Callithrix jacchus: one gene and its partners. The protein of the gene in region 7 interacts with the protein of the main gene of each other region in a pairwise test. Links are inferred from orthologs where the notes say so. Each region holds a gene or a part of one and is shown on either strand. Other genes may lie near its edges.

Region 1 (4,042 bases), on a different chromosome or scaffold from region 7:
AAGAGAAACTAAAAAACTTTGTTCTTATACAGCTTACATTCTAACTGGAGGAGACAGTCTATGACCATACCACCCTGAACGCACTGATCTCATCTAATTGGAAGAGACAGACATAAATAAATGTATAAATATATTGGGTTAAAAGATAACTATTATGGGCAAGGCGCGATGGCTCATGCCTGTAATCCTAGCACTTTGGGAGGCCAAGGTGGCTGGATCACCTGAGGTCAGTAGTTTGAGACCAGGCTGGCCAACACGGCAAAACCCTATCTCTACTAAAAATACAAAAAAAGAAAAAAAATTTGCTGGGTGTGGTGTTGGGTGCCTGTAATCCCAGATACTTGGGAGGCAGAGGCAGGAGAATTGCTTGAACCTGGGAGGTGGAGGTTGCAGTGAGCCAAGATCTTGCCATTGAATTCCAGCCTGGGCAACTGAGTGAGACTCTGTCTCAAAACAAAACAAAACACAATGATGCCTATATAGATCGAGTGGAATGGGCAAAGGAGAAAGCAGTAGAAGAGGTCAGACTGGCAAGGAGGCAGATGGTATAGGGATTGTAGACCCCCGTACCCCAGCTGTTGAGTGTTCTGAAGAGTACGAGATACAGCAGGGCATGGTAGTTCACACCTGTAATCCCAGCGCTTTGGGAGGCCAAGGCAGGGAGGATCGCCTGAGTTTGAGACCAACCTGGGCAACACTATGGGACCTCATCTCTACAGATAATTAAAGCATTAGCGGCTAGGCGTGGTGGCTTATGCCTGTAATCCCAACACTTTGGGAGGCTGAAGTGGGCAGATCACCTGAGGTCAGGAGTTCAAGACCAGTCTGGCCAACATGGTAAAACCCCATCTCTACTAAAAATACAAAAATTAGCTGGACGGGGTGGCTCACACCTGTAACCTCAACTACTCAGGAGGCTGAGGCAGGAGAATTGCTTGAATCTGGGTGGCAGAGGTTGCAGGGAGCCGAGATCACACCACTCCAGCCTACGTGACAGAGTGACTGTCTAAAAAAAAAGAATTAGGTGGATACATGGTGGCATACACCTGTGGTCCCAGCTCTATGTGGGAGGCTCGGGTGGGAAGATAGCCGGAGCCCAGGAGATTGAGGCTGCGGTGAGCTAAGATTGTGCCACTGCACTCTACCCTGGGAGACAGAGCGAGAGACTCTGTCTAAAAATAAAATAAAAAGGAAAGGAAAGAAAAGAAAAAAAGGAGAATATGAGATACTATCTAGGAGGCTACTGTGATAATCCAGGTGAGTCTGTGATAATCTAATGTGAGAGACTGGTGGCTTGAACAGGATGGTGTTCCAAAGTGGTGAAAAGTGGTCTGATTTTGGATATAACTTGATGGCAGAGTTATCAGAATTTCCTTACAGATCAGATGTGGGGAGGGAGGGAGAGAGAGGAGTCATGTTTATCTTTAGCAAATGAAAGAATATCATGCTACTCACTGAGACAGTGGTGAGAGAAGCAGGTTTGGAGAGAAGGTCAGGATTGGTTTTGTACATGTTAAATTTGAGCTGTTTCAAATTGGAGGTGCCAAATAGGCAGTTGAATATAAGAATCTGGATTTCATGAAAGAGATCAGGGCTAAAATATAAAGTTAGGAGTAGTCACCCAAGAGATGGTATTGAAACCATGAAACCTGACAGCACTAGAGAATATCTGAAGAGAAGAGGTCAGAGGACTGAGGATAAGAGGTTGCAAGTAAGAGTCAGCCAACGATATTGAGAAGTGAGGTGGCAGTGAAACAGCAGTGTTGATGTCTTATAACCCAAGTAAGGATACTGTGGGCAGGAGGCCACTATTCAATTGTGTCAAATATTGCTTTAGATGAGATCTGAGAAGTGGATGAAGCACCTCAGAGGTAAGCACTCCCTCCCTAGTAAGAACCTATCAAACGTCAATTCATTTCTCTCCCTTTTTGTCTGCGAAACGTGTTTTCTGCTCATTACACTTCCCATTCGTTTTTCAGTTCTCAGCTTAAAGGTCCTACAATCGGAGAAGCTTCTCAAGACCAATGCTACTGTCACCAGGGAAACGATATTTTATCATGGAAATATATTATTCTAAGAGTCTACGTAATTGTCTCTCCGCTGGGCTTGACTGTAAGGTCCTTAAATCAGACGTGTCTGTATGTTGTTACTTCTGTACTCAAATATTCGATTGAACTTCGAGCATAGCGCAAAGCTCGTAGTAGGTTTTCCATAAATATTTACAAAACCAATGGATAAATGCTAAGAACACTTAGTGGCGCGAGCGATTACTTCCTATTGGCCTAACTTCGGGGGTGCCTAGAAGGGAGTGCCTAAAACTAGGAGTGGGCGCGGAGGTCTCTGGCCATTGCTTAGTCTCCCATTCCATTACTTTTGCAAGTCCCCTGCCGGACACTTTTTAGCTGTCCTCCCCCCCGCCCCCGGCCCCGCTGCTAGCCATTGTCTTGTTCGGACCTCATCCCAGACACTCACCCAGCCGCGTGGTGCGTTCCTGCGGCGCCGCGGGCTTGTCCCCAGTCCCATGCTCGGCCTCGAGCTCCTCCTGTTGCTGCCGTGCTTGCTGCAAAATCCGTCGGCTCAGCCGAGGCCCCACATACTCTTCCTCCTCTTCTCCGGTGCCACGACCCCGCCGCTTCTCCCGGACCCCTGCCCGCAACGCATTCCCAGCTAGGATCTGCTCAGCCAGGGGCGCATGTTTTTCCTGACCCCCGGCCCCACGGGTGGCCTTGAACTTGGGCATTTTTCTTGAAAATACTGCCGGGAAGGTTCGCACGTGGGGACGACGAAAAGGCCAGAATACACTTGGGTGAACTCCCACCTCCCAAGAGGCCACGCTGCGATCACAGCGCCCTCTAGCTATCGGAGGCCAGAAGCGCTATCAGCACCGCCCCTCCCACTAAAAGAGCTCCTGGGTTCCGGAGCTGGACTCCCAAATACATTTACTTCCTTTAACGTTGGCGTCTCTCAATAGTGCAGTCTAAGTCTCGTTCTTCTAGCTTCATGGATCTAAGCCTAGAGTGCTCAGCCAACCGGGAATTTCCGGAGCTAGAAACATGAGAGCGGGAATCCACTGATTATGTCACTGGAGGCGTCACCGACGGGTGCCAAGACACGCCCCATTCCTTGGGGAAGGCGTGGACCCGGCGCTCTGTTTTTACGTATTTCCGGAATCCCTTCTGCGACCGAAGCCTGTGTTGGGGAACTGAAGCAGTTCCTGTGGGCGGACTGGGAACGACGCATTTCTACTGTGTGATCCTGCCACCTTCCTGTCCCGACACCATGGGAGTGACTTGGTAGGACTGCAGGGGTTTTGTGGGGCGGGATTTGGAGTTGTGAAGGGCCGGGAAGAGGTCCTTGACCATGGCCCGCCGTCCTCTGGGAGCTGAGCGAAATGTCCTCGGGTTATCTGGATAAGAGGATACCGTGCGGGCCGCGGGTTCCCTGGGCCTTTTTCCTCGGAGATGCGCTCTTACCTCTTGGAAGGCGGCAGAGCAAAGGTTTTATACCAGGGACCTATCAATGGTTATGTACCTTCTTCCCTTATGGGTACATCTTCCTTCCCGTGAGGCCATAGTACTGTCTGCACTTGGACCTCAAGGTTGGAAATAGGGACTTTGGATTAGGACCTACCTGCAGACAGGGTTGGAGGGAGTAGGTTAAAAGCGATCAGGAGACAGTATTTTTTTTTTTTTTTTTTGAGATTTTCGCCTACCCTTGTCTCAGCCATCAAATGCAGTTAGACCAGCTGGTGTCTGTTTGTAATTTGCCCATTTTAAGATCTTGGGTCTAGAGGAAAAAAGAGGCTATTGATAAGAAGGAGATCGTGGTTCCAGGCACTCTTTAGGACCTGCTTCTCACTATGTTTAATTCCATGGTTGGTCTAGTTTCAATGGAGTTTTTATCTTTCATATGTTTTAAGTCTCAGTTGGAAGATGAGGTGGCAGGGAAAGGTACAACGCTCGCGGAGGCATTAGTTGTAAGGTACTAGGTCCCAGACATTTTTTTTTCTTATCGCAGGAGGTGTGAGCATCTTTCCTGTGGG
Region 2 (3,500 bases), on a different chromosome or scaffold from region 7:
GTGCATGTCTGTGTATATGCATGTGTATCTGTGTGTGCATATGTGGGTGTATCTGTGTCTATGTGCATATGCATGTGTGCATGTCTGTGCATATGCATGTGTATGTGTCTGCGCATATGCATGTGTCTGTGTGCATATGCATGTGTGTGTCTGTGTGCATATGCGTGTGTGTGTCTGTGTGCAGGCACACACATTCTGTCTTCCCTCACCAGACAGCGGCCGGCCACACAGATGTCAGGGGCCCCAGGCTGACACAGGGTCCCATCCTGGACCTTTTCGGTGTGACGAACATAGAAGCGGAAGCCACGGGGCCGGCAGTTCAGTTCACAGCGCTGGGAGCCCTGGACTAAGGGACAGGGTAGAAAGGTGGTTAGTAGGCTCCCTCGTGGGAGGTTAGTTGAGAGAGGCTCTGGGGGACACCCTGAGGTTGCCCAGGTCACCGTGGATGGAGGGAATGTGGCAACTGCACAAACTGAGAAGGTGGTCAGGTCAGTCGAGGCCACCGAGACCATCAAGGGGGCTCTGAACGGAGAGAAGCATCCCTGACGCCCATGATTCTGTGTGTTCAGAGCTCATGAGCGCTTGTCTTGGTGCCAATTAACACAGGCCTGCCAGGTGCCGTGGCTCACACCTGTCATCACAGCACTTTGGGAGGCTGAGCCGAGTGGGTCACAAAGTCAGGAGTTCAAGCCCAGCCTGGGTAATATGGTGAAGCCTGTCTCTACCAAAAAAAAAAATACAAAAATTAGGCTGGGCGCAGTGGCTCACACCTATAATCCCAGCACTTTGGGAGGCCGAGGATCACTTTGGGTGGATCACAAGGTCAAGAGATCGAGACCATCCTGGTCAACAAGGTGAAACCCTCTCTCTACTAAAATACAAAAATTAGCTGGGCATGGTGGTGTGCGCCTGTAGTCCCAGCTACTCAGCAGGCTGAGGCAGGAGAATTGCTTGAACTCAGAAGGCGGAGGTTGCGGTGAGCCGAGATCGTGCCATTGCACTCCAGTCTGGGCAACAACAGCAAAACTCCGTCTCAAAAAAAAAAAAATACAAAAATTAGCTGGGCGTGGTGGCACACACCTGTAGGCCCAGCTACTCAGGAGGCTGAGGCAGAAGAATCCCTTGAACCTAGGAGGCTGTGGTTACAGTGAGCCAAGATCGCACCGCTGCACTCCAGCCTGGGCAACAGAGGGAGACATGGTCTCAAAAAAAAGAAAAAAGAACATAGACCAAAAATGAGATGGATGATGGATGGTAACCCAGGAGCAACTGATACGATAGCGCCCAGGATGCGCAGCACACCCCCACCTGGCTATCACGGCTGGCGGGATCTCTCCCACCATGGCCCTCCTGCGTCACAGCCACCCGACTTCCGGTGATGACTTTCCCAGAGGAGTCAAAGTGTGCCTCCCACACCTCTTCCTCCCAGCCCAACCCCTCTGCAGACCATTCGCCACCTGTTCTGTCTCCTGACCCAGCCCCAGCGAGAAGAAGAAGGCACAGCCCTCAGGGGAAGCAGAGGGGCTGGAAGTCATTCCCGGCTGGGAGTAAGCAGGGGTCTCCTCTCCCCTCATCCCTAATTCCAAGCCACCACTGCCCAGGGTGGGCAAGAAACCTCACCTTCAGTGAAGGGCTCCCACTGGTACAGCTGGCCCATGAATTCCTGGGAGTCAAAGGCCGCGCACTGCAGGGCCCGGGGGTCTGGCTGCTCAGGGGGGCAGGGCTGCGGTGGGGGGTACAAAGGAGTCAGAGCTGGGGAGCAAAATGGGAGTAGGGTCAGGGCTGACCCTGGGGAGCAGCCAGGAGGCTCAGGCCAGTGGAAGAGCTCCAAGGCCCCTACCCTGATGTGGTCAGACGCCAAGGCCCTTCTCCCTCAGGTGCCCAGCAGACAAGCTGAGGACCCAGCTTCAGGGTGGGGAGGCCCACACTGGAGGCTGAGGTGGGAGAGGAGGTCCAGGGAGGCTCACCGCTTGGCTGCAGGCTCTCAGCTGCTCACTCTCACCAGAACATCTTGGGATAGGGCTACTGGGAGCGAAGAGGCTCCAGAGGGAGCTGGCTTGGGGGCCATTGGTCAGCAGGGGCAGCCAGCCGTCCCAGTGCTGGGGGTCAGGCTCCAGGTGAGGCCCGTGAGGAGTCCCCGCTGTTCTCCAAGGCCCTTGGCCCTGCTGGCCTCGGCTCCGAGGGACTGAAGGGAAAGGATTAGGGCGTCTCCCTGCTACCTGGGGACCAGCCCAACCCTGGGAACTTGGCCTTTGGGGCTGAGGGGATGCATGGAAAAAGCTACTTTCTCCTAAGGAGTGGGTGGGTGAGGGCAGCTCTGTGCCAGAGGCCTGGGCTCTGGGGTGGTGCCGTGGCAGGGCAGGCCTGGTTCCGGGGGGCTCTTCTGTCTCAGCAGTTTCAGGGCTTAGAGGTTCTGCTGGGGGGGATGGGAGAGGGAGCTCAGTCCGGGAGCTGCCATTTGAGGAGAATGCTGCTGCTCTTGGAGTCGGGGATGGAAGAGGCTCTTCCCCTCTAGAAGAGACCAGGTTCAGCTCAGATCTGGGCGGCCTGCGGGGATGCCTGCGGTCCCGGTGCAGTGGCAATGCAAAGGGCACTCTCCCATAACCGAACATTCCTGGCTTGATGGGGTCTCGAAGCCGGGACCTGAGAAGGTGTTTCAGATGTGGGGGCACAGCTCTGACCACCTCTGACCCTTGTCCCCACTTCACTTCCTGGCACCAAAGACACGCCCTCGGAAGCAATCTGTGCCCCCCTTTCCTTCATGTCACAAACCCACCTTGCCCAAGGCCCACCTCTTCCACCCAAGCCTCACCTCCTGGCCCCTCGAAGCTCCTGGGTCTCTTCTCTCCCTAGGCGGGAAGCGGGACCTCGAAGTGGGCCACCCCTTCCCCGAGACTGTGGCCTGTACAAGGGGAGGGTTTCTGGAGAAGCCTGGGGTCTGGGACCCTGTCCCCGGGGAAGGAGGGCTTCTGGATGTCTTGGGGGCCGGGGAGGGAGGGGCAGGCTTCTGCGGAGCTGCGATGTAGGGAGCTGACAGGTCCTGGTCCGGCGCTGCACCCCTACCCCGCAGGGCTGGGAGCAAGTTGCCCACTGGACCCAAGGTCCCCAGACACCTTCGGGGCCCTGGCCCTCCTCTGTGGGTGTCTGAAGCAAGTGTCCGGACAACATCTATGCAGAGAAAACGGTCAGACAGAAATGGAAGGATTAGAGGGAACTGTCCTGATCTGTCCTTCAACTAGAGAAAGGCTGAGACTCGTGGAGTCACTACCAGTCCAAGGTCACATTCGGTAGCAGAGGGAGGATGAGAATTCGGCCTCTTGGTGTCAGGAGGCAAGGAGGTGGGGAGTTGGCAGGGGAGGCAGGTGAGCTGTGGGCAATGGAGGCGTGGCCTGGGGAGGTTGGGTGGGAGCCTGGGGGAGACGAAAGGGTGGCAGGCTGAGCTCACCTCCTGATCCAGGCAGAGCTGAGGCAGGGACAGAAGCAGAAGCAGACACAGCCGG
Region 3 (3,500 bases), about 13 Mb from region 7:
CAAAAAAAAAAAAAAAATACAGAATGGATTCTAACATAGTAACACACACACACACACACACACACACACAATTTCTTTTTTTAGAGGAGTTTCATTCTTGTTGCCCAGGCTGGTATGCAGTGGCACAATCTTGGCTCACTGCAGCCTCCACCTCTCAGGACAAGCAATTTTCCTGCCTCAGCCTCCTGAGTAAGCTGGGATTACAGGTGCTCGCCACCACGCCTGACTAATATTTTGTATTTTTAGTAGAGACAAAATTTCACCATGCTGGACAGGCTGGTCTCACACTCCTGACCTCAAGTGATCTGCCCTCCTTGGCCTCCCAAAGTGCTGAGACTACAGGTGTGAGCCACTGCACCCGGCCCCAAGGTAATAAAGATTATCGAAATAATTTTACTGTGATCCAAGAACAACAACAGCAACAACAAAGGCATGAGATGGGATTTTACTTAATCAAATTGCATAACAGATTTTTCCATTCCCTAGACCTAGTATTTTCATAGCAAGGAACTACCCTTCTTTTTAAAGCCCCATATAATACAATGAGTTTTGGTAGATGTACAGAGTAGTGTAACTACCACAGTTTGAAGCTGTTTTTTAATTTCTTTTTGAGATGGAATTTTGCTCTTGTTGCCAGGATGGAGTGCAATGGTGCTACCTCGGTTCAATGAAACCTCCTCCTTCCAGGTTCAATAGATTCTCCTGCCTCAGCCTGCAGAGTAGATGGGATTACAGGCATGTGCCACCAGGCCCCGATAAATTTTTGTATTTTTAGTAGAGACGGGGGTTTCACCATGTTGGTCAGGCTGGTCTCGAACTCCCAACCTCAGGTGATCTGCCCGCCTCCTAAAGTGCTGGGATTACAGGCGTGAGCCACTGTGCCCAGCTCTTAATTTCTCTTGAGATCACAGACTGATAGATAAGATAGAGATTCTAGTTAAGTCCCTGGATATGATAGGGGGAGAATGGTTAGAGAGAAGGGTGACTAAACATAACCTGTTAGGAGAACAGATATCAGCAGCTCTCCCCTCAATAGTCAGTCTTATCAGTCTTTGCAATCAGACAGAGGGAGGTTTTTGCTGCTAAGCCACACTGACTACACAGTAACTAAAACCTAGGAAAAAAAATATAATCTTAGATGGAAGTAATGTAACAAACAATAAATAATTGTGCTTGTGATAGGATTATAATCTTGGGTCAATTCTTTTTGCCTTCAAGTTGAAAGAGGCCTGCTCCTCTGCTACTGAGAGCTATCAAGAGATCTAGGCAAAAGCATTAAGAAAAAAAATTAACAGCAAGCTAAAATTTGAAACCCTGTTCTCTGCAATGCAATTTATGCCGGATTTCATAGCTACCAGCCACATGTGGCTACTTAAATTTAAATGAATTACAATTAAATAAAATTTAAAAATAAATTTCTCATCTACACTAGCCACATCTCAAGTGCTCAACAGCTATCTATGGCTAGTAGCTACTATACTGAACAGCACAGATATAGAACGTGTCCCTCCTGCACTAAGTGCTACTGGATGGTGCTGGTGTAGACCTATCAACAGCTATCAAGTCTGGTAGCTAAACTGAGAGATTAAGAAGACATACAAATACAATTCTTATGAAAAAGATGAGTTGGCAAAATTATAGTCTCAAGCTGAAAACCAAAAAACATACGGCTCCAATGTTAAATAGACTTTTCCTGGACCTGATTTCAAACCTGGGTATCATTTAAATTTCTTAGGTAGTTTAAGAAGTAATCTAGCCCATTTAATTCTGTTCAGAATTATTTTTTATGGAAAATGCAATATATTAGATTAATAATGCATCTATCAAACTTATTTACTTAAGAAAAACTCAGGAAAAGGAGAGAAATTAAATCAACTTAGACTGAATGTCAGGTGAGTCTTCCAATCCACAAGTGGCATCTATGACTTAGGTAAGTGAATCTTGCTCTGGAATTCTTATTTGTGTAAACACACAAATCAAAGGAAAATATCCCTCCAGTTGTGTTGGCATGTTACCTGGCAGTTTTACCAGCCAACTACTTTGTTTTGATTTCAATAAATTTTGCATGAAATACTTATTAAGTCTAGAGTAATAAAAACTCTTAAAATGTTGGTGAACTCACCTCTAAATCAGTTCCTGCCAGTGTTGCTCCTCTGAGGTTACAGTTCTTCAATTTTGCATTTTTTAAGGTAGCCACTCTCAGGTTAATTCCTGTCATCTGACTTCCTTCCATATCCACACCTTTCAGATTAGCACCTACAGTGAACACATTCTGGGAGTAGCTTAACTTAAAAATATAGTTATCCACTTCAATAAAACTGCAAGATGACTTAATGGGGTGAATAATGACAGCCTCCTTTAACTTTTGGAAATGAATCTAAAATCTTGTCTCTCAACAAACATATATATAAAGAGTTCACTGATGAAAGAATGCTTTCATCAGTACTTTTAAAGGAAGAAACTTCGTTCTGTTTTATGATAGTTAACACTTTCATACTGTGCCTCTACAGGTTTATGATGAGGGAGTTAAGTAGTCTCCTAAAACATACAAGTAAACAAAGTGGTCAGTCACAGATATAACAAAACAATAACAAACTAAGAAACAATATATTAAATCTAAAAACGATTTTTTAAAACTCCCTGGCTTTATGCATAAGAAATTTTTCCTTTTGGCCAGTATAAGAACATTATATTACATTTGAAAGTTTAAGATGTTGATATTTAATTTTCCAACTAAAATCTTAATTTTCGAGGCTTTATTTCTTCTAAGTCCTCAGTTTAGATTAGCATTTGATTGAGAAAAAAAGAAGGTATCTACTTCTTTGGAAGTTCTCCAAATATGATGACAGAAGAAACATATCCCCTATTGCTATCCTGTTTCACCCATAACAATTACTTTCCAGGGCTTTTTCCTTTATGGTCTGCTTTCTCCATAAATAGCTATTTACAGATAGGATCTCACCTTCTAAATTGGCTTTAAGACCAGAAGGATCCTCAAAATTACACAGTTTCAGGGATGCTCCTTCTGCATTAGAACAGAGCATTTTGACTCCCTGGAGATTTGCACACTGCAAAGAAAAAAGAAAAGTCCTGGTTATGAGGTTCATAATTTTGTTCAAATTAGCTCAAACAGTAAAAGAAAAAAATAGAAAAAGGGAAAGGGCTCGACTCAATACACTCATAATTATTTTGTTTACAATAAAGGCTTTTCTAATTAAACCCAGTAAGAACTGGAAACATTAAAAAAAAATTTTTAAACAACTGTTTTTTAAAAAGCAAATGCAAATTAACAACAGCATGTTCATTTTACATGAAACATAATGGTTTAGATAAAAAAGTTGGGAGAGTCAGAACTATGACATCTCTATCTCTATTTTTATAAACACTCCTATGCATGTCAATGAAACAGTCAAAATGTATGAGTAAGGAAGGCATAAACTTGTTAGGGATGTGAATTTTCTCTTATTACTGTAGGAATCTTGATGTTCTAAGTGAAATTC
Region 4 (4,218 bases), on a different chromosome or scaffold from region 7:
GCTTTTGTTGTCTTGCATTCCTTATGTGTCCCTCTCTTCTTCCCCCCTCCCTTGGCCAGGGACCTATGTCTGAGTCCACAGTCACAGATACTTCCCAAGCATATTGGAATGGAGTGGCCATGTGGCGACAGAGAATGCTCCCTGTGTAGACTAAGGCACCTGAAAAATTTGTCCTTTAGGGATCTGGGAGCTCTAGGCATGCTGGCCTCAATGTTCTCAGTTCTGTTTCCTCTCTGCTTTCCCAGACTCCTGCTTGTGTCCCGAAGGGATCACCTGGAGGTACAGGTCTTTAGTTTGCTAAAAAAAAAAAAGGCCTTGAGAATCAAGGTATAATATAAAGAGGCTGTTGTGAGTCCTTCACAGGTGGTACTCCTACTAGGAAGCTCATGAGCTAGAATTTTCATAAATAAGAAGTAGGGAGGGAGATGTTGGAGGACGAGAAAGAGGGCTCAGGGCTAAGAGACAGGTATTAATGGCCTAGGGAGCTGTGGTAGAGGTGAAAAAGAGTAAGGTAGAGAGGGATGAATGAGACCAGAGTGAGGCAGAACAAGCAAGGTGCTGAGCAGAAAGTGGTGATGAGAAGCAGAGGAGGCCAAGAGTCAGAAGCCAGAAGAGAGGCCAGATTGAAGACAAGCACCCAGAGCCAACCTCCTGACACATGCGTTAGCATCCCTGCGCATCCTCCACAAACCTCAGGCTTGGTCAGGGCATTCAGTGGCCATGGTTCCATTCCAAAGCAGCATCAAGACCAGTGCTTTATCTTCTTGCTGAGATAGCCTGCCTCTGCTCCTCTGCACAGCCTCCCCTCTCTCCCAAAATCAGGCCTGTTCTTGCACCTGGATTCTTACTGTATCACCTGTCAAATCTCCTGGCTTCCCACCTTTGCACCTGCAGGCCATTCTGCACATTAGAATCACCTGAAGGGGCGATGCTCATTAATTCAGATGCTCAGGTGGTACCCCAGACCAATACAATCAGAATGTTTCTGGGGTGGATATCGGGCATCAGTAATTTTTAAAGATCCCCAAGTGACTTCAATGCACAATAACGTTAGGGAGCAACTGATGCCTGAGGCATTTTCCTAAAGACCAATTTTATCTTTTTCCTGTTGAAATGGGCTCAGAGGCTCAGTTGCTGTTGCACAGAGAATTAGGTAGTTGAGAGAGGAATGTGGACACTATTTCCCACACTTTAGTATTTCTAGACTTGGACTGAGAATCCCTGGATTTCCTATTTATGCAGATACTATGAGAGGGCCATAGGTGGAGAGTTATGGGTGTTAAGGAGCTACTAAAGATTTAATGGCAAGATGGATAATATCTTTCCCCTAAGTTCACTAAACTTCTGCTTGCAGAATTGCTTTTCCAGGCTTGAAAGCTTTCAAACTGGCCTGCCATTTTTCTGCTTCTTCTAATCCTGTCATCTTATAGTGCTGTCATCTTTTCTAAGAAGTGTGCTCTTAGTACTTCAGACTCCCCTCATGTGTGACATAAAAAGGCTTGTTTGGCAGAGCAGGTGAGGATAATGTAAGACCTGATATGGAGGATTAGTACTCCAAATGAATAATTGAGACCCCAAGTTCCGTGACTTCTGGATGAGAAAAAGAGAAGGCAGTTGGAGTTCCTGGATGTCTGGGGTACTTAAATGGCTCTCAGGGTCAAAAGTGCCCCATAGAAGGTCTTACTTTTCCAATAAATGTTGCAGGTATTTAGAGTTAATAGGAAGAAAATGAGCACTTTTTATTTTTCTATAACATGCAGATTATAAAGAATATACATTAATTCTTATATCTACAATATCATGGGGGTGGGGGGGTCTTGTCTCTGTTTTGCAATACAGCATTCTAGAGTTAAGATCACAAATTTTAGGTTCCAATTCTGACTCTGAATCTTTCCAGCTGTGTCATCCTGGGGCAACTTCTTCTCAAAGTTTCCTTTGAGAAGGAAACTTCTCAAATGCTCAGTTTCCTCATGAGAACAGTGGACTTTGGGTTATGCATGAAATGCCTGGAAAATTGTGTAAACACCAAGTATTAGCTATTACTATTTTGTACAGATGAGAGAGGGTTCAGAAGAGTGAAGTGCTCTAGTCGATGATGCTTAGATTGGAGCTCATGGTCTACATACATAGTGACCATATATGATACAGTTAATTGCTACAAAATTCTTGGCTCCTTTTTTTTAGATAAATAAACACAGAGGGGCACTGGCCTGCCCTGTGGACTTCACAGCTAGCAAGGGGTCCCTAGTTTTCCTGAGCCAATGTGGCTGCACATCTGGTGCCTGGCACTTACAAGGTATGGATGCTCTTGAGGCGGCCCTTGTGGAAAGTCACGGTGATATTACGGCAGCAGCGGCTCTCATAGTAGTAGCACTTGACGTTGCTGCTGGCTGTGCAGCAGCACTTACAGTTGGGATCATTGGCCCAAGAACAGCAACACCAATGGCAGTTGGGGTTCTCAGCACAGGTACAGTGGCAGAACTGGCAGTTCTGCTCATCTTTGTAAGGGCAGGGGAAGCAGGTGCAGTTCCGCTCTGAGGTAAAGATGAACTTGCAGCATAGACAGGAGCATAACCGAGGACAACATCGCTGCCATGTACAACATGGACAGCAAACACACATAGCAGTTTCCATGGTGCCTACATGATTAACACTGCCCCGCTAGGATTTTTGATGCCCCCTCTACCAGAATACTGCTATCAGTTCTCCAGTAGAGGAGTCTCTCCTCCCCCTTGTGAGGCCGTCAGCTTGGGAGTTGCAAGAAGTTGGCTGTTATGAGGCGTTCACTGTTGGTGTCCCTACCAGGAAGCTCATAGGCTGGCATTTACATATATCAGCCTGAGGGTATTTGCTTATGTCACAATCCCTCTCTCTCTACCATGCTGGGTGGGTAGGAGGATGCGGCCTTGTGGGTGTAGCAGGTATGTTGATGGGCTCTCCATGCTTCCATGGAACCAGCTGTAGAGGAGTGGTGATGCAGTGAGCCTTCCGGAAGTTCAGTTGTCATTTGTCAGCTTTTGGAAAATGGAGATTTCGGAAGCTGTTTCTCCTTGTTTGGTGTTCTGCCTGCAATTTGGGCAAGTTGACTTCATATTATGTCTTCATAGACTGAAAGGCTTGGGTACAAAGTAGAATAACATGGTTTTCTTCATGTTAGAGGAACTGATAGAATTCTATTTGAACAAAGGAATTATATATCCCCCAGATAATAGCAATGCGATATTTAAAGAGATATCACCATTAGGAGAGAGTTAAAAAACACATAGATTCACTTTAGGGACTTCTTTCAGTAGTAATTGATTTTATCAATCAATGCATAGTCACTGCTCATTTTCATGAAGCTTTATACATAAGCCAATCTGAATATTTCTTGGCTTTTTGTAGCTTCATGGTGTTTGGGTGAGGCTCAAGCTTGCTCACTTTTCCCCCACCCTATTCCCACCCCACTACATGCCTTTTAAAAAGAGACTGGAACTCTACATGAAATCTTTCACTGTTCTGCTAGTATATGCTCAGGATCCTTAGAAACAAGACCCTATATTTTACAGAAAAATTTCACTTTCCAATTTATGCAGCTTGCGAAGATTAAAGGAACAGAAATTTCATGGTCATAGTACGTTATAGTGTGAACATTTTCTTATTTTTGTAAAAAGCAGAAGAGCTGAATTTGGCTGCAGGAATTAAGTGCATAATTTATTATCTCTCCTTATGGTTATCACCTCTATAATAGGAAAGAACATCACTGAGTGCCAACTATGCCAGCCACACATTGATATTAGAGTTCCAACAGTGAAAATCCTGGATCACAGAATATGTGCTTGATCTTTTTTTGATACAAACTGCCAAATTTCTTAAATAAATGTGCCAGTTAATACCAGCAAGTAATGTAAGATGTTCAAAAAAGTGAAACACCTTTTCCCTCCATGTTTGCCAAAACTGTTTCATTAATATTTCTCCCCATCCTCCAGGCACATAGGTTGGAGTTTCACTCCCAGATTTATGATACATTTTTACTATTGGTTTCTGTAAGGTCTTGTTAAAAACTTACTAATATGTAATTCACTTACCATTCAGTTCACCATTTTAAAGTAAATGGTTTTCAGTATATTCATAAAATTGTGCAACTATCACGATTATCTAGTTCCAAAATATTTTCTTCACCCCCAAAAAACACTCATAAGCAGCCTCTCTCTGTTCCTGCCTTCCCCCAGCCCTTAG
Region 5 (4,275 bases), on a different chromosome or scaffold from region 7:
CTGTGTAGTTTGGTTTGTTTTTGCTTTTTAAATTGTATTTTTGTTTTATAGGTCCTTTGTGATTTATGCTTTAAAGGGGTTCTGTTTAGATGTGTTTCCAGGACTTTTTTTTCAAGATTTAGAGCTTCTTTTAGCAGTTCTTGTAGTGGTGGCTTGGTAGTGGCAAATTATCTCAGCATTTGTCTGGAAAAGACTGTATCTTTCCATCATATATGATGCTTAGTTTTGCTGGATACAAAATTCTTGGCTAATTATTTTGTTTGAAGAGACTAAAGATAGGGCCCCAATCCCTTCTAGCTTGCAGGGTTTCCCACTCATTTTAAAGGAGAAACGTTTACCAGAGTTGTTATTTAGCATAGAGGCTATGTGGAAGTTTGTATTAAGAGCTGAGAGGCAATAAAATTGGTAACTGACAGGAACTATGCTCGGTCTTTAGGATTTATCAGCTTTGAGACTCCTGAGACTGGAGAATCCGACTGTGGATAGCTAAAATCAATGTAACATCTCAGTTTTTATAATGAGAAGTGTACCCCCATTAGCTATCTATGCTCATTGCAAATATGAACAATTCAGAAGACTAAAGTGTAAAGTGAAAGTCCTTGAAACTTAAAGTCCCTGATATTAATACCATTCATTCACCAGAGATAAACACTATTTTAACAATATGATGTCTTTTCTTCCAGACTGCCAGTAATTGAACAAATATATGATTAACACATAAAGGATACCATATGAACTCTTTAAACTTCTAAAATTTACTGTATCAGGGAATTAATATACCTTTTCGAGCCAGTAGATATAGGTCTTCCAATTAAAAAAATTAAGTTACAATAGAGTGAGATTTGGGGTGCTATCCTTTTCGGAAAGCGTCCTCGATGAGGTCATATTTGGAATTACCCTTCACGCCCCACGTCTTCTCTGGGCTCCCGCGGACTCCAGGCTGAGTGCTGAATTGTGGATTTTCATACCCAAACCTCTGTTATTTCAGTATCTCACCTGGTTCCTCCACAGCGCAGAAGCGCATCCCAGGTTGGAAGAGCCTCTCCGGGGAGACTCAGCGAAGCGCTATTCAGGGCCCAACTCAAGCCCAAGCCTAGCTCCTCCTCAGGTCGTCGCCAGAGACCCCACTTCTCCCGAACCTCACCGGTACCCCGCCCCTGACTCCGCCCACCACAACACGCGGCCCCGCCCCTCCCCACCCCAGGCTCCACCCACCATCCGGGCTCCGCCTACCCGGAACCACGATGTCGTCCTTGTTCGGGGCTCCGTCCACTGGGAGCTCGCGCCACTCACCCCACCCCCGACCCGCCCATTTAGCTCGGGCTCCACCCTCCCAGGAACCTGCGCCGCTCGCCCCGAGCTCCGCCCACTTCGTCCCGGGATTCCCGCGCCGGGAACTCAGGCTGCTGGCCACGCCCCACCGCGCTCCTGGCCCCGCCACCCAGAAACTGCCCCGGCTGCCCCGCGCTCCGCTCATCCCGCCCTGGGTGCGCGTGCGGGCCGCTGCACGCCAGCCCCTTCCTTTGCTACGTCAGGTCCAGTCGGTCTTCCTGCGGCTGGGGCCCTGGCTGAGCTAGCCGGCCATGGAGGGTAATGGCCCCGCTGCCGCCCAGTACCAGCCGGCCAGCCCCCCGCGGGACGCCTGTGTCTACAGCAGCTGCTACTGGTGAGGAGACGCGGGCGCAGCCTCCGGGTTTCCCCGGCTCCTGGGCCGCGAGTCGCAACCGTGGCTTTCCTCTTCCCGGCCCCTTCTCGCGGGCGCTCCAGGCCTCGACCGGCGGGTTCTACAGTTTCTGCGGGAGGAGGGAGCAGGAATGGCAGCTCTCGTCTCTTGAGTAGAGCGTGGGCTATTGGATGGGGTTGGGAATTCTCCGGAATCATAGGGTCGTTAGTGCATTTCCTGTGCTTGGTGCTTGTGGGTTGGATTTGCTCTGCAGATCTCTGCTTGGGGGCAAGGCAGGGGTGGAGCTCTGAAAACCTTTGGAAGTTACTCTGCTGAAGCTTGTGGGGTTTAGGACTTAGGTGAAGGCTATTTTAATTTTGGAAGAGAATGGAGGCACAGAGAGTTTGGTGTAACTTGCCAAGGTCACCCAGCTAATAACCCTGAATCCAGTTCAGGCTCCCTGACGTCAGAAACCATGATCTTAACCGTGTTGTCATTATAATAATGGTTACATTTACACAGCGCTTGCTTTAGGCCACGCATTATTCTGGGTAGTTTGGGTAACATAAATCACTGAGCATCACAGTCACCCTAAGAGGTAGGTATTGTTATCCTCATTTTAAAAGATGAGAGCACTGAAGCACAGAGGGCTACAAGTAATTTGCGCAGGGCCACGTAGCTTGTGAATGAAGGAGTGGGAATTTACAGGCAGAGTCTGGCCCTGGAGTCCACGCATTGCATTTCTGTCCTAGGCCACCTCTGCAGCTGAAGCACCACCCCTGCCTTGGTACTTTTTGATTCCGATACCTGCTCTTGCCTGAGTAATGGCTTCTTCCCCAGCTTCCAGTCCTTGCACAGGAAACCTCAGGGCTCTCTAAAATTACTCCTCCCCTTTCTGCTGGTCACTAAACCAATGCCACCAAGAGCTTAGCATTTGTTTGGCCCTGATTGCATGTCAGGCTCAGTGCCAGGTGCTTCCATCGATGTGCAGGAGGTAAATTCTTTTATTATCATTATCTTCATTTTACTAATAAAAAGCCTGAGTCACAGAGAGGCTGTTGTGTGCCCCCAGATCATACATCTAGCAAGTGGTGGTGCTGAAACTGGAACCTCTTTGTGATTCTGAAGTTCATGTGTCTTAACTGTTGCACTGTTTTTCTGCCCTGCCTCTCTTCTAAATCCTTTTAGTTCTCCTCCCTAATGTCCATTCATTGTTTTATTCGTTCTTTCAATAAATGTTTGTTAGGCAGTTGGTAATATGTGGTACACTTCTGGGCACTGGGACTATAGCAGTGAACAAAATCGACAAATTCCCTCATGAAGTTCTTGTTATATTTTGATGAGAGAAAAGCAGACAAGGCCAGGTGTGGTTGCTTAGGCTTGTAATCCCAGCACTTTGGGAGGCAGAGGTGGGTGGATCACTTGAGGCCAGGAGTTTGAGACCAGCCTGGCCAACAAGCAAAAACCCTGCCTCTACTAAAAATACAAAAATTAGCTGGGCAGGGTGGTGGGTGCTGGTAATCCCAGCTACTTGGGAGGCTGAGGCAGGAGAATTGCTTGAATCCAGGAGGTGGAGGTTCCAGTGAGCCAGTGCCACTGCCTTCTATCCAGGGCAGCAGAGTGAGACTCCATCTCGAAACTAAACAAAAAACGACAAAAATGAGTAAGCAATGCTTGGGTGGTGGTAAGTGCTGTGAGAAAAATAAGATAAAGCATGGTGACTTATTTTCTATTACGATATTTTGAGAAGACATTGTTATCAGGTGATAACTTGAACAGAGATCTGAAGAAAGAGGGTGAGAGCTTTGCAACTTTTGAAGAATGGTTATTTAAGCAGGGAGGATAGCAGGTACAAAGGCTCTGAGAAGGAATCCTGCTGTGAGTATGATAGGAACAGCTCAGAGGCTGGTACAATTGGAGTACTGAAGTAAAGCAGTCTTGTAGAAGAATGGTAAGAGATGACCACTCTACCACAGGGTTTCTCAGCCTTGGCTCTAGTGACATTTTGAGCATGAAAATTCTTTGCTGTGGGGGCTGTCCTGTGTATTGCAGGATGTGTAGCAACATCCCTGGCCCCTACCCACTAGATGCTGTTACCACCCCAGCCCTAGATGTGACAACTGAAGATGTCTCCAGACATTGCTAAGTGTCCTGTAGGGGTTGGGGGGCAAAATCACCTCTTGCTGAGAACCAGTTCTCTACCCTGTCTGAACACATCAGGTAGGACACCACACTACTTCCTGCAGCTGTGTGTGTGTGTTTTAAGACAGTCTCAGTCTATCACCCATGCTGCAGTGCAGTGGCGCAACCTTGGCTCACTGCAACCTCCGCCTCTCCAGCTCAAGCCATTTTTCTGCCTTAGCCTCCCCAGTAGCTGGGACTACAGGTGCCCACCACCACGCCCAGATAATTTTTGTATTTTTAGTAGAGACGGGGTTCCACCACGTTGGCTGGGCTGGTCTTGAACTCCCAATCTCAGGTGATCCACCCATCCAAAGTGCTGGGTTTACAGGTGTGAGCCACGGTGCCCGGCCATCCTGCAGGTTTTTTAACTTGAAATGAATGCCTCCTGTTTACTTCTGGGTCAGTAGTGCCTTTCCTGTGCTTGGTGA
Region 6 (2,639 bases), on a different chromosome or scaffold from region 7:
ATGTGTAGATAATTGGATCATATTGAATTCTCATCAATAAGATACAGACATTTGATCGTGATTGCCAACAAATACTGGGTGACTTTAAAAAAGTTACTTGAAATCATTTTGATTTGTCTTCAATTCAATTTTGCTTGTATGTATGTCTATAACCATATAGATCTAAGTTTTATTTTTGTTCCCTGAAGATTCCTGATATAACTGTCAGCTAGTTTTCTACCTTATTCTTATTGGCCTTGTCACAAGAATCAACATTTCATAAGGGAACCAAGCTAATTCCCGAGTCTGAGATTTTAATGAACAAAAGCCTGTGTATTTAGTAGACATCTACTACCTGTAGTCTGAGTAACAAAAATCTCTGAACCCCCAAAAGTTTGTTTGAATCCCAAACTTCATATGGTTTTCAAACCTATTCCTATATATATACCAGTTGTTTCATAATAATCCCCTAAATATGTCACAACCAAAACTTGGCAATAAAAAACCACCACAAACATAGCTGAATATCAGACCAGTAGATTTATTTCGTTAAAATGATTTGACTTTTTCCACAATTGTGGAAAAAATAAAATAATATAAATTCTAACTTTAATGTGTACTTCAAGATTATTTTGGGTTAGTACACAGGTTTTCAGATGAAGCCTGCCAGTCAGTATCTGGGGCCAAAGACAAATTGAGAACTTGATAATTAGAGAATAAGAGGCTAATTCTTTCTGTACAAGATGAAGACAATAAAGGTTATGAGTAGAGACATTAATGGCATCGGCCAATAAAATTAGCAGTTTAACAAGATGATCAATAATAGAAGCCTGATCCACAAGTTGGTCTGTAACAAGAAGACTGGCAGCTCCTAGAAGCCAAGTAGGTTGGGCGGCAGAATCCAGATCCATAGCCCAGGGAAGGGAAGCCGCAGCCTCCATAACCCAGGGATCTGAAGCCACTGGATCCGCAGCCCACTGAGTAGCAGCTCCTAGATCCATAGCCCAGGGGGCGGCAGCTGCTGGAGCCAAAGCCTAGAGGCCCAGAGTAAGTCGTCTGGCAGGGATTGAAGAGCACAGAGGTTCTCGGGCGGTAGCAGGAGGTCTGGCAGGGGCTGGACTCCACACAGGATGTCTGGTAGCTGGTGGGCTCGCAGCAGGGCTCCTGACAGCCCCCGTAGAGAGAGGAACCCAGCTGGCAGGTGCTGGGAGAGCAGAGGTCAGTGCTGTAGACCAGGTTGCTGGGGTAGGAAGAGCCACAGGAGGAGCCTGGGTAGCGCATGTAGCCCCCACAGGAGCGGGAGGAGAAGTTTCCAGAGCAGCAGTTGTAGGACATGTTGACGGGAGATGTGAGTTCAGCTGAGTTACACTGAGAAGATCTGAGTTTGGATGCCACTCCTGGAAGGGACCATTTATATACTTTCAACTGTGGGTGTGGCACCTGACAGGGTCATCCTTCACGTGTTTGAGCTCCCACATTTGCATATAAGTAACTTAGTAATCTTTGTAATTGCAGTTAACACGCTTCATCTTATATTTATGGAAGAACTCATTTTGTTTTTACAGCTCTGCGTCAATGAAATACATTTATGTTACAAATGCTATGACTGTATGTGATTAATGTCCACTCCATTATGGCCAGGAAGACCCCTCTTATTTTCTCTGGCCATGATTTACACACTTGCTCCTGTTTTGGCTGGGAAATTCTTTCTGTCTTGGATGGGGATGGCAATGTACTCATATTTTTTGTCAGTGGCCTAGCAGCAGAAATTTTATTGGTTCACACTCTCCAAAATAGTTTGCCGTCTATTATTTACTATAAGCAATGTTTATCATTGCTGTCTCAAGGACTATGTAAAAGTAATCCAGAGGGATTGAGAGATAACTAAAACCAGATATCATCTTGAACACGTTTAGAAAAAAAAATTAGTGTTTAGAAAAAAGAAATCAAAACAAAAGCCAAAAAAAATGAAAAACATCAATATGGACAAATGTGGAAAAAGCAAACCTCACCTCACTGCTAAGATAAGGTAGGAAATAAAGCACAGTAGCAGAAGGATGATCAGGACTGCCAGGGTTCCAGCTAACTGATGGGTAGTCCATCCTGAAAGCAAATCAAAATGCTTTCAAATAGACGTATTTAATAGCTTTTGTATGATGCATTCATATTTGTAAGTGTCCTGGAGCCTGCATGCTTATAACACCTCAAAACCCCCACCTCAGTATTCTGAATGCTTTCTGAGTATTTCCAGAATAATGCCACCAGCTTTTATGTTTTTCCCTCTTCTTGTGGGACGTGACTCTGTCCCAGCCCTCTTTAAAGAGATGGATTTAGGTTGTGTGGGTGTGGAAAAATATAATTTGGGGATCCTCATTAAAAATACCATATTATGAATATAATAATAGATATAAACACAGATATTAATATAGAATAAACACTTCCAAAGTTAACAAAACTCAAGACATCACAAAATCAAGACAATAATATACCATTATCATCATCATCTATAACCTTTTCCTATATTTTTTGGCTGCATCCTCTTGGATCATCTCCACATAGGACAATGATTTTTTCAACATGATTTTCTGCAGAACAAATGGAAGTAAAATTCAGTGTGTTTTAGAAATAGTATATCAAAACTACTTGAATTACTTTTTAAT
Region 7 (4,071 bases):
AATATAATATCCTCGATTCAAGAACCAGAATCTCTGTTAACTAAAATATTACTGGTCACAGAATGTTAAGCTAGAACTCTATTAGCAAATGTGCTCACTGTTCTTCCATGGATGAGGACCTGGATTCTTGTGAAACACCCAATTTAAGGTCAAATCACTGAATCAGTAGTGAGTAGTATTGAATAGTACTGTCCATAAGTTTCAGCCTCAGTGACCAAAGAAACTTCCTTGGAAAGGTATACTAAACATTTTCATTGGATGAGCTATAGGCAAGATGAACCCTAAACCAACGTTTAGGAGAAGTGGAAGAAGATTCAGTGCTGCCTCTCAACCAGTTAACTGTATGACGGTGTACAAGTCTTCACTGCCTGGCTTCTGCTTCCCCCCTTCAAAAATCACACCATGGTCAGCGACTAGGTGGTCTGTACAGCGGAGTCCAGTTTCTCTTCTCTTTATTAACTCAGAGGCAGAGTCATCTGTATCAGAATTCTGTGTTCCACATACTTTTCTTTTGTTTTGAGCCCATCATTCTATAATTGCCTATTCCTCACAAAGGCGCTGAAAGAATACAAAAATCTCCGAGATTTGTGCTGCGAACTCTAATGGTAAAACTCAAGATCTTGACATTAGTTCAATATGACTAAGCACGTGGGGCAAAAGATAACCCGAAAGATGATCCTTTCAGTTACATAGGCTATACATTTACCTGTAATACCCAAAGTCAGTTGCTATTTTACATGTCTATTTTCTTGGGGATCATTCCCCCAACTATCATTTCACGCCAATGGACAGACACTGTAATCTTGAAATACGCTTAAAACAAGGGGCCTGATAGCCTCTAGGATATCTGAGCAGCTTCCCGCACCTCTCCCACTAGTTGTTGGGACTAGCACCAGCCCCACAAGAGGTGCAACCAAAAATGTCTCCAGATGCTGCTCTAGATAATGTCCCCTGAGAGAGGGGAGATAAAATCCCCCTGGTAGAGAACTACCGATTTAAAGAACAACTCTTTTATGTAAGAGAAACCTGACACTGCCCCCTTTTGGCACCTAAAACCACCTTAGGAAGGAAAGTGCTAACCTAGGTTAGGAGGCCGAGGCTGCTTCTTGGAGACTGAGAAATGCACTCAAGACCTACAAGGCCTTTCCTCACAGCTTGATCATGAGTGGAAAGGCCTAGAGAAGCGTGGCAAAGAACTCCGGATCTGGGAACCCCCCTCATCTTTACCATACACTAGGTGCACTGGAAAGTAGATAGGAAATAAGTATGCTCTGAAACAGGCCAGCTGAAACTTTCAAGAGGAGCCAGTCCAGAAATTTCCAGGTAGCAAGGGACCACCCAGGGCAGGTCCACCCGAAGTCCCAAGCTCGGCGGCCTGCGGGTCCTACCCGTGCTGGTTGCCCGCGCGGAGCTCCCGCCACGCCCACCGGACGTCACTCGTTACACAACGCCCCCCGCCCCCAGCTTACGCAATTCTGCCCTCCCGCGGCTCCCAATTTTCCCGGTGACTTCTGTGGGTGGGGAAGGGAGACGCCGCCTGACCGGCCTCGTTCCCCTCGCGGAGGATTCTCTCCCTGCCCTGGCAGTAATTTCCCCGCCGCGGGCCCAGCCCGAGAGTCAGTTCCCGGAAAGCGCGCGGCAGGAAGCGAGCGGACGCTGGGGCTCGCCCAGCTCCCACCCATCCCGCGCTGGGGCGGCCTCGGTCCCGGTCACCCACTCCGCGCCCGGCGCGCGCGCCCGACAGCCAGGCCGCGGTCGAGGGAACCCCGCGCTGAGCGCCCCTCCCCGCGCCGCGTCACAGTCGGCTTCCAGGGCGATCCCCATTGTGACCGAAGCACCCCGGGGCGCCGCCCCCTCCCACACCCCCCAGCACCCCAAGACCCGACACTCCTGTGGCCCAGCGGCCTCGGGGAAGCAGAGGAGCCTCCCGGGGTGCAGACGAGCTCCGGGTCCCGGGCCCTAGGGGCCAGAAGGGTGCGGTCGGCCGGGCCCCGCCGCATCCCCGCGCGGTCACCTGCTCGCAGCGCCTCGCAGGCGGCGGCCAGGGCCTCCCGGTAGCGCCCCTGGTGCAGCAACTCCCCGAGCCGGCCGGCTGCCCGGGCCCGCTCGCGCTGGCCTGGGAACCACTTCTCGGCCAGGTGGTTGAGGACGACGCTGGTTCTGAAGTCGGAGGCGGCGATGGCGGCGGCCAGAGGCGGCGGCCGCGGGGCAGTCCCTTCAGCATCGGTGGCACTGGCGGTGGCGGGCGGTAGCCGGTCCCGGCAGAGGCGGCAGCGAGCGCGGAACTCCCTCCGCAAGCAGCGGCGGCAGTAGCTGTGGCCACAGGGCACCGTCACCGGCTCGCTCAGGAAGCCCCGGCAGCCCAGGCAGCTGAGGAGCCCGCCGGCGCCGCCGTCCGCACCCGCAGTCGGGGCCGCGCTCCAGCTCAGCCCGTGGCGGAGCCGGTAGTTGAACACCAGGCAGTCCACCAGGACACCCAGGCACTCAGGCCTGGCCGGGGCCCCGCGGCGCAGCGCAGCCGCGAACGCCTCCAGCGCGCCCTTCAGGTGGCCGCCCAGCGCCAGGAGCTCCCCGCGGCGGAGCAGCAGCTCCCAGCGATCCGACTCCGCGACCGCGCGCTCCAGCCGGTGGCCGCTGCCGCCGCCCACTTCCCAGAACCGGCCTCGGCCCTGCGGCGCTGGGGCCATCTCCCGACTCCCTTCCGGGGAGCTCCTCGCCACCGCCGGAGAGGACATGGCCCGCGGAGGGCTGCTCCGCCGCCGCCACCGCCGCCGCCGCCGCCGCCCGCCGCCACGGTCCCGGAGCCTCCCGGGCGCGCGGCTCCGCACGCGGCCCGCGAGCAGGGGGGCGTGGCGCGCGGACACGGCGGGGCGGCGCGCGCCCGGGAAGCCCCGGGGGCGGGGCCTGGCGAGGGCGGGGCCCGCTTGGCGACTGCACCCGGGACTCCCTCACGCCGCCCGCGGCCGCGCTACCAAGGAGCCGAGCGCTGGGCCCCGCCCCTTCCGAGCCCGCTCCCAGCGAGAGACGCAGATCGGATGAATCTCCCGGCGGAGAGCTATCGGCTTTTCCGGAATGGAGGACTCGGCTCGTGACGGAACAAAGCCCGAAGAAGCAGGGAGCCTTAGACCCCGCTCGCCTGGCCGCCGACGTCCCCGGTCTGCGGTGGCCCGAGCCCCTGCCTGGTTGGAGGGCACTCCCCTGCCGCGGGGGACTTCGGGTCTCCACCCCTCTCCCGAGGCGCCCGCCCAGGCGGGACCTGCCCCAACTCTTGGCGGGCGGGATTCTCCTGGCGTGGCCTAGTGCTTGTCAGGTGCGGGTCTACATTTTCATTCGTCTGTGCCTGGGTTCCAGGTGGGCGCGCCTAAGCAGGGGGTCTAGGAGGGCACCGTAGCCCGATGACTCGGACTCTTCGGGTCTAGAGGCCTCAACTTTAAACTTGAACAAAAAACCCACGTTCCTGGGGCGACTTCCTCCAGAGGGTAAGGTGTGTTTCCTGGTGCCCGGTTGACTGCCTCCAGCCCTGCTTAAAGCTCATCCCCGACGCACCTCGAGGGAGAAAGCCCCCAGTTTCCTTAGGTGTCCCCACACCTCGAGAACTGCCCTACAGCTGGCTAAAGTCTATATTTGGCATTCGTAAAAGAAAACATCAAGAAAAATGTTTTTCACATGGCGGTCACCATATTACTACAACCAAAGCAGGGTCTGCAGCTTTGCCGACAGAAGAAAATGATAGGGTTGATATAAAATGGGTTCTGTTTTCCTTAAACTTCACAGCAGCAAATTTAAAGCTCTCCGCTGAAAATATTTGTAGATTTGATTATAGGATATTAGAATTAGGGGAGTCACTTAGAATTTTTAGTCCTTTTTCAAATCTTTGGAAACAAAGTTAATTGTTCAAAATCACAGAATCTAATAGATTTTAAGATCACGTCTATTCCACTATTAACTACGTTAGACTAATCATATGTAATAATTCATATGTAATATTTCATAGAAAATGAGGTTTTCAAAGTAAAGGAAGTTGCTAATTGGAGAGTTCATCTGAACATGCTATATCTGAAATTAGCAAAA

What was found.
Region 1: the proteins of LONRF1 (region 7) and BYSL interact in binary tests that used the Homo sapiens proteins (3 or more experiments, as listed by UniProt). The two-hybrid records come from large-scale screens. The link is inferred for Callithrix jacchus from reciprocal best matches to the Homo sapiens genes LONRF1 and BYSL.
Region 2: the proteins of LONRF1 (region 7) and ADAMTSL4 interact in binary tests that used the Homo sapiens proteins (3 or more experiments, as listed by UniProt). The two-hybrid records come from large-scale screens. The link is inferred for Callithrix jacchus from reciprocal best matches to the Homo sapiens genes LONRF1 and ADAMTSL4.
Region 3: the proteins of LONRF1 (region 7) and KCTD9 interact in binary tests that used the Homo sapiens proteins (3 or more experiments, as listed by UniProt). The two-hybrid records come from large-scale screens. The link is inferred for Callithrix jacchus from reciprocal best matches to the Homo sapiens genes LONRF1 and KCTD9.
Region 4: the proteins of LONRF1 (region 7) and TRIM42 interact in binary tests that used the Homo sapiens proteins (3 or more experiments, as listed by UniProt). The two-hybrid records come from large-scale screens. The link is inferred for Callithrix jacchus from reciprocal best matches to the Homo sapiens genes LONRF1 and TRIM42.
Region 5: the proteins of LONRF1 (region 7) and NTAQ1 interact in binary tests that used the Homo sapiens proteins (3 or more experiments, as listed by UniProt). The two-hybrid records come from large-scale screens. The link is inferred for Callithrix jacchus from reciprocal best matches to the Homo sapiens genes LONRF1 and NTAQ1.
Region 6: the proteins of LONRF1 (region 7) and KRTAP13-1 interact in a two-hybrid assay, tested with the Homo sapiens proteins (2 studies listed by BioGRID). The two-hybrid records come from large-scale screens. The link is inferred for Callithrix jacchus from reciprocal best matches to the Homo sapiens genes LONRF1 and KRTAP13-1.

What each region holds. Positions count from the first base shown.
Region 1 is NC_133505.1:50,424,008-50,428,049, reverse strand, and holds the start of BYSL (bystin), read right to left. Parts: upstream 2,801-4,042; 5' UTR 2,741-2,800; coding exon 2,473-2,740; intron 1-2,472. UniProt on the Homo sapiens protein: Required for processing of 20S pre-rRNA precursor and biogenesis of 40S ribosomal subunits. May be required for trophinin-dependent regulation of cell adhesion during implantation of human embryos.
Region 2 is NC_133519.1:10,461,713-10,465,212, reverse strand, and holds part of ADAMTSL4 (ADAMTS-like protein 4), read right to left. Parts: coding exon 3,446-3,500; intron 3,169-3,445; coding exon 2,813-3,168; intron 2,644-2,812; coding exon 1,968-2,643; intron 1,724-1,967; coding exon 1,621-1,723; intron 1,057-1,620; exon of another isoform or gene 347-1,056; coding exon 210-346; exon of another isoform or gene 1-209. UniProt on the Homo sapiens protein: Positive regulation of apoptosis. May facilitate FBN1 microfibril biogenesis.
Region 3 is NC_133514.1:16,082,236-16,085,735, reverse strand, and holds part of KCTD9 (BTB/POZ domain-containing protein KCTD9), read right to left. Parts: intron 3,069-3,500; coding exon 2,963-3,068; intron 2,257-2,962; coding exon 2,123-2,256; intron 1-2,122. UniProt on the Homo sapiens protein: Substrate-specific adapter of a BCR (BTB-CUL3-RBX1) E3 ubiquitin-protein ligase complex, which mediates the ubiquitination of target proteins, leading to their degradation by the proteasome.
Region 4 is NC_133518.1:43,744,948-43,749,165, forward strand, and holds the start of TRIM42 (tripartite motif-containing protein 42), read right to left. Parts: upstream 2,801-4,218; 5' UTR 2,635-2,800; coding exon 2,294-2,634; intron 1-2,293.
Region 5 is NC_133517.1:73,988,315-73,992,589, reverse strand, and holds the start of NTAQ1 (protein N-terminal glutamine amidohydrolase), read left to right. Parts: upstream 1-1,475; 5' UTR 1,476-1,583; coding exon 1,584-1,666; intron 1,667-4,275. UniProt on the Homo sapiens protein: Mediates the side-chain deamidation of N-terminal glutamine residues to glutamate, an important step in N-end rule pathway of protein degradation.
Region 6 is NC_133522.1:36,448,920-36,451,558, reverse strand, and holds KRTAP13-1 (keratin-associated protein 13-1), read right to left. Parts: upstream 1,366-2,639; 5' UTR 1,315-1,365; coding exon 796-1,314; 3' UTR 501-795; downstream 1-500. UniProt on the Homo sapiens protein: In the hair cortex, hair keratin intermediate filaments are embedded in an interfilamentous matrix, consisting of hair keratin-associated proteins (KRTAP), which are essential for the formation of a rigid and resistant hair shaft through their extensive disulfide bond cross-linking with abundant cysteine residues of hair keratins.
Region 7 is NC_133514.1:29,000,471-29,004,541, reverse strand, and holds the start of LONRF1 (LON peptidase N-terminal domain and RING finger protein 1), read right to left. Parts: upstream 2,801-4,071; 5' UTR 2,736-2,800; coding exon 2,015-2,735; intron 1-2,014.